Linked DNA regions of Drosophila melanogaster. The protein of the gene in region 3 purifies or fractionates together with the protein of the main gene of each other region. This does not show direct contact. Each region holds a gene or a part of one and is shown on either strand. Other genes may lie near its edges. The genes, in order: Vps51, scat and Arl5.

Region 1 (3,756 bases), on a different chromosome or scaffold from region 3:
CGGCCACTTGCCAGTAATCTCTGAACCCACGCCACGCTACGCCACACCCCACCTGCCACCCACGGCCCACTCCAATGCCGTACATATAATCCGTTTAAAATGAGCACTGGCTGTGTGCTCCAGTTTCCGCTGCTCCTGCTTTTGAGTGCACTGAAATTAATTTAACGACTTGGCGCACTTCAAACTGCACAAAACATATTAGTGGGCCGAACGTGGGTGGTGTGCACAGCTTTCTCTGTGCCGCACGCAGAAGTGAGAAGGGGAGCAGGAGTGGGGTGGGGGAGAAAGTGAGGTGTGGAAAACCTGGGACAATGGCAACTTGACCTTGACACGTTCGACGCTTTCCGCCGCCCTCACGTCCTTCAGCTTTTCACTTTTTTTTTTTGTTATATTTCGCTCGGCTTACGTAAATTCAATTTTCAGTTTGATGAAAGCAAAGTTCATGCCACACACAAGCGCGAGTGTGTGACACACTGTCCCACTGTCGGTCTTTTCTTTTTTTGTTTGTCTAACCTTTAAGAAGACCATTGCAATTAAAAGTTTTAGTTTTCAATCATAGAAATGATTTGGAATATGAATAATGGTTATTCATTACAAACATATAATAGCATAGTGTGTTGCGAATTAGGATCCTCATCAAACTCCTCATTGCTATACATTTTTCTCAGTGCACATGATACAAGTTTGGAGGCTGATGGCATTGGAGAGCGTGTGATTTGCACAATCTGCACACAACTCGAAATTAAATTCGGCCCCGGCAACAGCTCGAACTTTTTTGCGAAAGGTCAAAATGTTAATGTATTTGAAATGAGACGCCACAAAGGAACGAGAGCGAAAGGAGCCCAGGATAAAATATAGTGCGAATGGTGGGAAAATTACGGGGAATGCTGCAGGGCCAGCAGCCGAAAAGCGAGACTCAGATGCGAGATACAGCAGCACAGGGAACTTTAGGCCCTCGGAATGTGGCAAAAACTTGTCCATGTTCATTCAACTTGACACGGTCGCCAGCGGGCAGACGAACTCCCACCGAAATAAAAAAGGACGCACCAAGAAGTACAAACAACTGCTACATATTTATGCCACGACACTGAAAATACCCATTACAAAAAATGATTTAATGATGTTTAAAAGATATTAAAACTGTAACATAGGGCAATTCAGAATTCAGAAGAATATATCTTTCAATAAGCGTTACATAGTTAATCGCAGTTTCGAAATACCCAACGACAGGGTATAAGACCTTAACAAAAAAGATGTCTGGTAGTGTGGAGGCGGTGGGCGTGGAATGTTTAATGCGATTTGCCACACGTAACTCAGTCTGGGGAGACTGTTGAATTACTTAGGATACAGAAGCCCACATCGTGTTCTACTTTTGTGCTTTATTGAGCCAGGTGATATACAAAGTTATTTGCCATGATTTGGGTCCAAAATGCACAGCATTGTCACGGGGTCCGTTAAGCAATCTACAAAATGTTTAAGTAATTAGGTACATTAGTTAACTAACATTTTGTTGTTACTAACCAGCAGTCACAAATGAGCTGCACAGAGCTGCAATTAATGCGGAAACAAAGAGTAATAGCTTCATGTTGTGATTGCTTTAATAAAACCTTTTACATTAATGCCATTTATGAAAAACAAACAAGTATTTTCTTATCAGTTTGAAATGGGAGATTCCCAATAACAAAGCCGCGATTAGAATAAAAATGACAGAGAGCTTTGCAAACTAAGATAATCTCAGTTCACGTCTCTCACGATTTAATACCAATTCATCACACACCTATGTGCCTAAAAATAAAAACAAAAAGAAAAAACAATAAAAAAGATAATAAAATAATATATTTAATAAAGACACTAACTTTATAAATACTCAGAAAAATATTAAAAATTAAAATTCTTTCAATATAATGCCATAGCAGTACTATTCTGCATTAACATTTAACTGTCTAAATTATTATTCACTTAATAATATAATAATAATATAATAATATTTCTATTTAATTTAAAATAAAAAGTTGCTAAACGCGCACCGTTCAAAAAATGATTGTGTGGCGGTATTGGATATCGATAACAATATTGGTAGTCAGCTGTTAAATGAGGGAAACATTTTTCGTTGCCCAACACACCTTAACTTATCGATATACGAAAAAAACGATAAATCTTCAGCAACAACAAGTTCACAACATTTAGTTTATTTATTTATTTAGACTAGTGGTAAAAAAAAGTTCTACAAAATGGCTGAAACCAAAGCCAATCCCTTCGACATGGACAGCTCCAGCTTCGATGCGGAAAAGTATCTGGAAAGGTTGCTCAAGGTAAGAACAACAAAATAGTGAAGTAATAATCATTAACTTATGCACTTTTTGTTCTGGCTGTTACTCACAAATAAAGGATTGCTCCTTAAAGCAAATAATGGATACGGAGGCGGCGGTGGTCAAGGACACACAGACATTGCACTCTGATATGCAGACGCTGGTCTACGAGAATTACAACAAATTCATCTCCGCCACGGATACAATTCGCCGGATGAAAGATGACTTCAAGCAGATGGAAACGGATGTGAACCTACTGATGACCAAGATGCAATCCATAACGACTTTTAGTGAGCAAATAACCGGAACGCTGCAGGGCACCAGATCGCAACTATGTCGCCTGTCCGAGAAACACTCGCTCCTCAAAAGGCTGCAGTTTCTCTCAACTCTGCCAGCTAAACTGAAGTCCCTCATCGAGGAACAGAACTACGCACAAGCTGTCCAGGACTACCTGCATGCCCAGAAGGTGTTCGCCCAGTACGGTCGACAGCCGTCCTTCGATGGAATCCAGCGAGATTGCGACGCCATCATGGCAGATCTCAAGGAGCAATTGCGAAGTGACTTTCAAAGGGCTGGGAACACGGCCCAATCCTTGACGGAAATTGGAGAGCTACTCCTGCAGCTGGACGAAAAGACTTCGGATCTGGCAAGCGAAATGCTGACTTGCGCTGGCAAACGACTGCACGAGCAAATCGTCATGCTGCAGGATCAAACAGAGCGTGATATGCTGGAGTTTGTGGACATGGGCATCGATGGTTTCCTCAACGATCTGGCACTGGTAGTGACTTCCTACTTTGACATGTTTGTGGCCAAGCACTACGAGCATGAGCGGTAAATTGAACAATATTTTGTATAATCTTAATTGAGTTTTATTATCCATTCCATTTTCAGCGATGACTTTCAGGAGAACGCCCTGCAGGAGCTAAATGTCTTCCTCAATCAGAACATCGAAAAGTATCTGACACTCGTCCAGGATCGTGTTGAGTCCGACATTGGCTACGGCGATACCCAGGTAATGCTACGCGCTCTGGATCGACTTCATCGGCGCCTTCAGGCCATGCGAAATATCTGCCGCGGCTTGGAGGTCCAACGCAACACAGTATCTATCATTATTTCGGCTGCCCACCAACTATGCGATGCCCATGCCAAAAACCTCAAAGATCACTTTGCCGACAGTTTGAGTGCGGTTCGTCTGTCGCTGGTTTCTGCCAAGAGCGATGCAGCTGCTGGTCTCAATCTCGGTGATCTGATAAGCAACCTTTATGTGTCCATGGTGGAGAAAATAAAGGGTGTACTGCAGGACTTGCTTATATTCCTGCGCACCGACTGGTCGTTTAACATCAAGGCGGAACACAAGGGCGCCCTGTGCGTAGAGGGCATTCGGGAGAACCTACTCATTGGCTTCCTACGTCATATTGCCAAGGTGATGTGTGGTTTCGGAGATGCC
Region 2 (3,756 bases), on a different chromosome or scaffold from region 3:
AAAGAGGTTCTTCTAGATCTTTATGATTTCCCTGACGACAGCAGCATTCTCTGGAAACGTTGCTCATTTGAGGCAGCGAGCCGTACAACTGCACCCAGCACTCTGAACAACAGACCTTGGGAAGCTCGTTGGCACTTGGTGATGTCATGATGGCAAAGGAATTTTAGAACGATAGTGTTTCACGTGATGTGTTTGTCACGCGTGTTTGTTATGAGTGTGTAAAATGTTTGGGATTATAAATAGGATACAAATGGAATAGCCTACTTGCCTCTCTGGCAGATCTCTATTCCGTAGGCAGCTGCCGTAGGAATCGATCGGAAGATGTTTCATCAGTTCCTTTACGTAGTCCTCCCTTCCAGACATCGTGTCGCAGTCGCTTTGGAGGAACACCACCGATGTGGATGGACGGTATCCGTACTTTGACTTGCCGTCAAACGTAACATAGTAATCCTTCGAAGTAAGCGCCTCGCCACTGGGCAAGTACATCGTAGTCAGCGGCAAGTTGCTGTAGCGGCTAAACGTGGATGTGAAATGGAAGTGGCGAAGGAACTCTTTATTGGACACAAAAGGGGTGTTCCTTGGTGATTCTTCATGCAGTAGGGCCCAGATTTGGTGCTCGTTCCGAGGCAGGGGAAAGTCTCCCGTCTTTATGTTTGAGCCGTAAAACAGGACGCCCTGTGAAAAATGTAAGAGACATTCCGTTATTATTATATCAAATTACAATGAATCTACAATTACATATCTTACTGAAGTAAGCGAATTTGTATCTGCAGTGCTATGCATTTCTCAGTCTAAGCTATGTGTTTACATATTTTTCAGAACTATGGTACAGTATCTCAAACAGTTGGAGCCCTATATTATTATTATTTTCAATCCAATTCTTATCATGTCTGCCGGATGTGAAACAAAAAGAAATCTAGACTTTTGGTTTTTGAAACGAACCCGGGCCCACGGACGGCGGCTCCGCTTGTTGGTGATGCGGCAAGTATGAATTCCGCACTGGCGCTGCACGTCGTAATTCCAGGACATATCCCTGGACCACCAGACCAGCTCCACAGGACTGTTGAACTTGATGTTTTCGTAGTTAATGATATTTTCCGACCAGAAGAACAATACGGTCGCCCCAACCATAAGCAGCGCAACCAGTGCAATTCCGTAACGTTGTGCCAGTCGCATGATTATCTTTGCAGTTCTTTGCTAGCTAGATAATCAAAATTATTCGCTGCACCACTTCGAAAAGATTCAAAAAGCCGGTGCGCCGCAATTTCGCTCGAGCGCCCCAATTTCGACTGTCAGTCGTCAGCTGATTTTGCTCAGATGTAGTGTTGGATAACGTTTGGTATTTTTGAGACACGATTTGCACGATACGATTGTATGCCAGGAAATGTATAAACATTTTTATTTAAAAAATAAAACAGTTCTGCCTGAATGTTTAATATAATTAAAACATATAATTATTATTCAACTTAAATTTTTAAAGCATAATTCTATTTATTTGATATTTTGTTTTTTAGATATTCAAATTACATTAATTATATTAACTAAACATATACTATATTTATTTTCTGTTAAAATTAATTACTTTCATATTTTAATTTCGAGCTGCTGGCATCGCGCGCTTGACCGTTTCCAGCCCTCGCCAGCTGCCATCCAGTCCGCCGCTGTTTTACAACACTGAACTTCGTCATAATATTGTTCCACTTACAATTGCTCAATTAAGCGACCGCAGAAGCAACAGAAACACCCATAAATCGGACGAAATGTGCCCATTCCAAGGCTAGAGAACGAACAGCCAATGAAAGTGGACTTATTGCGGAGCAACCAAAATGCAACATCTGGCAAGAGAGGCAGACGAGCGAAGGTAGAAAACAAACATTGACATAACACGTCAACGATTGGGAGCAGGTGAACCACCGGGGAAACCATACGGCGCGGCACTTTAAACGCAGAGCATGTGTTATGGCCACGACAAGATCCGCCGGAGGTGCCGCCACGTCCGTTGATACTGGACCGGCAGCAGGGAACTCGGGTATCAGAAAGCTATCGACGGCTAGCGTCGGTGGAATTGCCGGAGGAGTGGCGCCCAGCTGGCAGAGCTGCTACTACTGCACCCGGGAGCACTTTAAAAGCATCAGCGACTTCGTCAAGTGAGTGTCGTCCAAATCTTCCCATATAATAGAACTTTGAGCAGCCTTACGAGTCAATACCATTTTTATCTTAACTTTATATGCATGTATGAGTTAAAACGATAAATGCCAGGTAAATTGCACAGACAGGTAGAAATAATTAAAATTGTATAGCTGCAGTCGAACTCACAAACCTCGTTTAGAGGTGTTTTGTACGTAAGTTATATTTGGGATTGTCTAAAAGTGATTATACGGAAAACAATACAACTTCTATATATGTAATTTTAAAGATAATAGAATGTGTTGCAAATTCAATTGGAATTTAATAGAATATTGATTCATTAAAGTTACTCAGATCTTATAAAGCTGTTTTAATAAATGCTCTCATTACGCATTACAGTCACCTGCGAAATCGTCACTGTACCCGGGAGGGTGGCTCATTTGTGTGCCGCTATGGCTTCAATGGAGTATGTGCCTCGCTTCCACTGGACGGAGTCTCAGATCGCGATTACGACGCCCATGTCGCCAAGTACCATGTCAATCAGCACACGCGCGAAATGCCTCCCGAATGGGGAGTCTACTCGGCGGCCCAAAACCTGCCAGCGGTGCTCAACGATCCCTCGCGAGGAAAGCAGAGTAATCTGTTTACCAAAAAGTGGGGCGAGCATTTTGTGGAACGAAGTCATGTGCCCCCATCACCCCGATTGCCCGATATAACCCATGCGGATTTTACCGTGTATCTGGGCAGCATAGGGAAGCGATATCGTTGGCATGAGCGGCGGCAGCAACAACTGGAGCGTGATAAACCGCTGGAGAATGGAGCACAAGGAGCACCTGGACCGGGAACTGGTGGTCAGACACCAACACACTTGAGTTCTGTGCCCGAGATCTTTCTGAAATCACAACTGCAGCTTCATCATCCGGCAACCTTTAAGCAGGTATTTCCTAATTACATGCAAACATCGGCTTCCAGTCCGGAAAGTCATCAGCAAACTGGTCGTCAGCTGCAGGAACAGCTGAGTCACTACCTGGACATGGTGGAAGTTAAAATAGCGCAACAGGTATCGCAGAAATCGGCTGCGTTCTTTCACGCCATGACCACGCAGCACGCTATTCTGGCTGAGATGGAGCAGGCGGCCGACCAAGTACGTCAGTTGCGGGCAGCACTGGCCGAACTCCACAGCCACTCGGTTGTAGACAGCTTCAAAGTGCTGCGTTTCGCCCAAAGAAGACAGCACTATAACCTCACACTAGACAAACTCCGACTGATGGCCACCGTACACAAGACGCAACCGATGCTGCAGCTCCTACTGGGCACCCAGGACTATGTGGCAGCCTTGGATTTGATAGGCACCACGCAGGAAATACTTTCCGCCGAACTCCTTGGCATTCACTGCTTTAAGCATTTGCCTATGCAGCTTAGCGAAATGGAGAAGCTTATTGACAAAATGCTTACCACGGAATTCGAGCGCTATGCTGCCGCCGATCTAAATCGACCGTTAACGGATGCCCTCCGGGAAACCGACAGCGTTTGCGCCGAGGAGGATAAACTCGTAGCTATTGTGATGGGCCTGTTGCGCAAGCAGAACTTCTCCTTTGTCCAGGCTTACCAGCAAGAAGCAATCGCCAC
Region 3 (3,756 bases):
GGCATGGCCAACTCCCAGGGCAGATCATTAGCCTGGCTATCGAAGCGTACAAAGTGCACCTCGGGGCTGCCGAGCAGCGCCGAAACCTGCAGAAATGCTTGGGATAGAACGGCTGACAGAGCGCAGTCAGGACGATGCATAAATACCACATTGGTGACATTTGGTCGCTGGATTGCCTGCAACAGCATCTGTCTATTGTATTTTCTACTGAACCCAGATTCCATCATGGCAAGAGCATTTTTGTGAGTCCTTGGCAATGTTCTGGCGTAAAACTGCCGTATAAAATCTTTAAGAGCTACGTAGGAGAATGTGTGTTGCTGTGGCATAACATACAGTGACTCTTCAGCCGCATCCAAGATGAAAACCTGCACCTGCTGATGGGTTTGCTGAATGCCAAGCTGGTGTAGATAGTCTCTATATTTCACAGAATCGAAGATCACCACGCCCAGCGACCGATTGTGGGCTGCGCGCTCCGTCGAGTGCTGCCAAATGAGCTGGCCATATTTGGTTACCATTTTGGCAATGCCGATTTTTATGGCCGGCGTTCCATGCTGTGAGTGTGCCAGGCAAAGGTTTCTGGAGTGAAGCCGCAGCAAGTGGGGGACGTTTCGATAACTCGGATGGTTCTGGTGCGAGTACTGCCTCCATAGGTGGTTTAGATACCTATTAATCCGATAATAGTTCTTAAGTGTGGTCTTGTTTTTACTCCAGGCCGGGTAACATGTCCGGGTTTGTTCACCATCCCCAAACAGCTCCTTGGGAACTTGATTTAGGGAGGAGGATATGTCTTCAGATTGTTTATCGAATTTTTTCCAGTAGTCTTCGCACCCCTCCGACTGCTTTTTTTGAGCGTAAGCCATCTCCTCGCCCATGACGCTAGCATGGTGATATTGGTTCATTCGAACTCCCATAGCCAGCACGGGGACATGTCGTGCCTTCATGGCGATGGTCATAGGAGTGCCATAGCCATTGGAGAACAGCGACATATTTTTGAGTGTGCTCCGTACCCAGCGCAGAATGTCGATGGTCTTCCATACTCCAGATGTACCATTAAACGTATGAACTCCATTTCGGCTGTCGATAACTACAAACTGGGGCAGCTTGGCCTCCGAGGACTTCAACATCTTCCTGGCACTGTTGCCAAAGTACACGGTGAAGCGGATATTCCTCTCCGGATCCAGTTCCAGCCAGCGCAGACCGGCAGCCAAGTAAAGATTGTAGGCCTTGTCGTCTGGCGAGTCAAGCAGACCCAAAACCACCGCATCCGAGTGCTTCCGAATGGCGGCGAGATCCTGACTACTGTGTGCCCGGTCCAGTGGCTGAAGCAGGTTATTCATGAACCGGGCGAGATCTTCAAAGCTCCACGAGCCCTGGTACTGGAGTAACTGCTTTTGGCCGTAGCGCACGATCAGCGTGGGCCATTTGTCAGGATAACCTCCTGCGCCGGCGACTCCTGGTGCCGGCATCAAAGTACGGCTGCAATTGCACTGCAAGTGCCAGCAATCGATGGCTCCAAAGAAGCCATACTCCTGGTAATAGTGGGCCAGTCCATTGTAGACCAGTCGTGCCTGCCGTGCTTCGCTGGCCCAGGACACGTAGTAAAATAGCAGCGAGATCTCTGACTCTGACGCTTCCGCACGGAGCTGGGGAACACTGCGTCCGGGACACTCGACAATGGGAGCCTGGTCGGATGTGGCTGACCTTGAGGCGTCCAACTGAGCGATAGAGAGAGCCAGGAGCAGCAGGCTCAAAATTATTTTCATTGCAACCGGTGGGAAGCTAATTAGATGTTAAGAACAACACAACAGCAACCGCCGTGAACAGATGTTTGCCGCGAGGATGGCCACACTGGTAACGTCGGTAGTGTTGTTAATAATAATAATTTATAAGTAATGACTAAATCTAAATTTTAAATTTGAAAATAATTCTTTAAATAGGTTCAATATTCAAAAATAACTTGTTTTGGAAATGCAAAAGAAACGTTGTTAAGCACTAAATGGTTACGGTCTCATTAAGCTTTACTTTCTTCCCCACACTGCCCGCAGTTATCGATAGCAGCACTATCGATTCCAAGTGATATTAATTAATCACTTCTGCTGTTTACTTTCTTAATTAAAACTCTGTTAATTAAATTATCAACAACGGCTGTTCTAAACCCACTGCGACGCGTAAACGAAGTAGCGTTTCCCGCTGCAACGAAACGAATGGAAACCACCCAAAGGCAAACCACCTGAAAATCGCTCACCAATCCCCCCAAAAAAATTCCCATTTGGCGAAAACAACAACAGTAATTAGGGTGTGAGAGTGTGGAGTGAATAGCTGAATAGTTAAATCAGTGAATAATTTACCGTACGGCCTTCGCCTTCCCCTGCGGAAACAACAACAAAGCTCAGCGTTCACTTACACCCACACACACGGGTCTACCACGCATACACACGCAGGCCAGCCGATAACCTGTGTGTGAGGCAATCGCCGTCATCGTTCGAAATCAAATCTCTAATCGGTGGAAGCAGCAACAACAATAACAGCAGCTGCAGCATAATCAACAATTGATTATATACGTATATAGCTAAAAATAAGGTTCAAATATGGGACTGTTATTATCGCGGCTCTGGCGGATGTTTGGCAACGAGGAGCACAAGCTGGTGATGGTGGGTCTGGACAACGCGGGCAAAACCACCATCCTGTACCAGTTCCTGATGAACGAAGTGGTCCACACAAGTCCCACGATCGGTTCCAACGTGGAGGAGGTCGTCTGGCGGAATATACACTTTCTTGTCTGGGATCTTGGTGGTCAGCAGAGTCTGCGCGCCGCTTGGAGCACCTACTACACGAACACAGAGCTGGTGATCATGGTCATCGACTCCACGGACCGGGAACGGTTAGCTGTTACGCGGGAAGAGCTCTACCGGATGCTGCAACATGAGGATCTGAGCAAGGCCAGTTTGCTGGTCTATGCCAATAAGCAGGATCTCAAGGGCTCTATGTCGGCGGCGGAAATCTCACGACAACTGGACCTCACCTCCATCAAGAAGCACCAATGGCACATCCAGGCCTGCTGTGCGCTCACCGGCGAAGGACTCTATCAAGGATTAGAGTGGATCGTGCAGCGCATCAAGAACAAATGACCCGCCACACATGCTACATATTAGCTAATTAATCATTAACGACTAGCTGTCTAGAGAAAGTAAACCAATTTTGATATAAACAATTTTTAAGCGTTTCCAAATTGTTTGAAAAGTTGTTGCCAAGCCAATTTTATTTAGTGTAAAATACGTCCGAACAGGAGTCCCTCGATGATTTAAATCTACGTGTATATGGATAATGTCTAGGAGCTAAGCCAATTTAACTACGATACTTCCAATAAAATTACAAAATAAACGAGTTTATTTCGACACTGTCGCATATCAAATTGAATACAAATTACAAATAGAGAAGTGGACGTATTTGCCTCTCTGAGCATTGCCTTGTAATTGACATTGTTGGCTCGATTCGCTGATGTGTGAGATTGTTTGTACTCTATCGTCAAAAATAAATACATGGTTGTGTAAAAGTTAGTGTCTAGGATTAGGTTAAAGCATTAGAATACTAATATATAGCCACAAGAACAATTTGATCACAAAAGTAAAAGCAAACTAAAGAGCGGATTTAGGTCTAGGTGAGATTGCATGAGCTGCTGCAACTCTTTAAAGGCTTTCCCTGGCCCAAGGTGATGGTGTTTTCTGGCACCTCCTCCACATTGTTGGCATCGTGTTG

The links.
Region 1: the proteins of Arl5 (region 3) and Vps51 purify together in Drosophila melanogaster (affinity purification with mass spectrometry, with the first as the bait; one study listed by BioGRID). This does not show direct contact.
Region 2: the proteins of Arl5 (region 3) and scat purify together in Drosophila melanogaster (affinity purification with mass spectrometry, with the first as the bait; one study listed by BioGRID). This does not show direct contact.

What each region holds. Positions count from the first base shown.
Region 1 is NT_033778.4:18,709,251-18,713,006, reverse strand, and holds the start of Vps51 (vacuolar protein sorting 51), read left to right. Parts: upstream 1-2,141; 5' UTR 2,142-2,231; coding exon 2,232-2,312; intron 2,313-2,388; coding exon 2,389-3,140; intron 3,141-3,200; coding exon 3,201-3,756. UniProt on the Drosophila melanogaster protein: May act as a component of the GARP complex that is involved in retrograde transport from early and late endosomes to the trans-Golgi network (TGN).
Region 2 is NT_033779.5:9,429,755-9,433,510, forward strand, and holds the start of scat (scattered), read left to right. Parts: upstream 1-1,650; 5' UTR 1,651-1,959; coding exon 1,960-2,147; intron 2,148-2,526; coding exon 2,527-3,756. Other genes in the region: FucTB (alpha1,3-fucosyltransferase B), read right to left, coding at 269-675, 943-1,176. UniProt on the Drosophila melanogaster protein: May be involved in retrograde transport from early and late endosomes to late Golgi. Required during spermatogenesis for sperm individualization.
Region 3 is NT_037436.4:8,298,123-8,301,878, reverse strand, and holds Arl5 (ADP-ribosylation factor-like 5), read left to right. Parts: upstream 1-2,039; 5' UTR 2,040-2,588; coding exon 2,589-3,128; 3' UTR 3,129-3,378; downstream 3,379-3,756. Other genes in the region: CG13671 (uncharacterized protein), read right to left, coding at 1-1,763; Rab19, read right to left, coding at 3,655-3,756.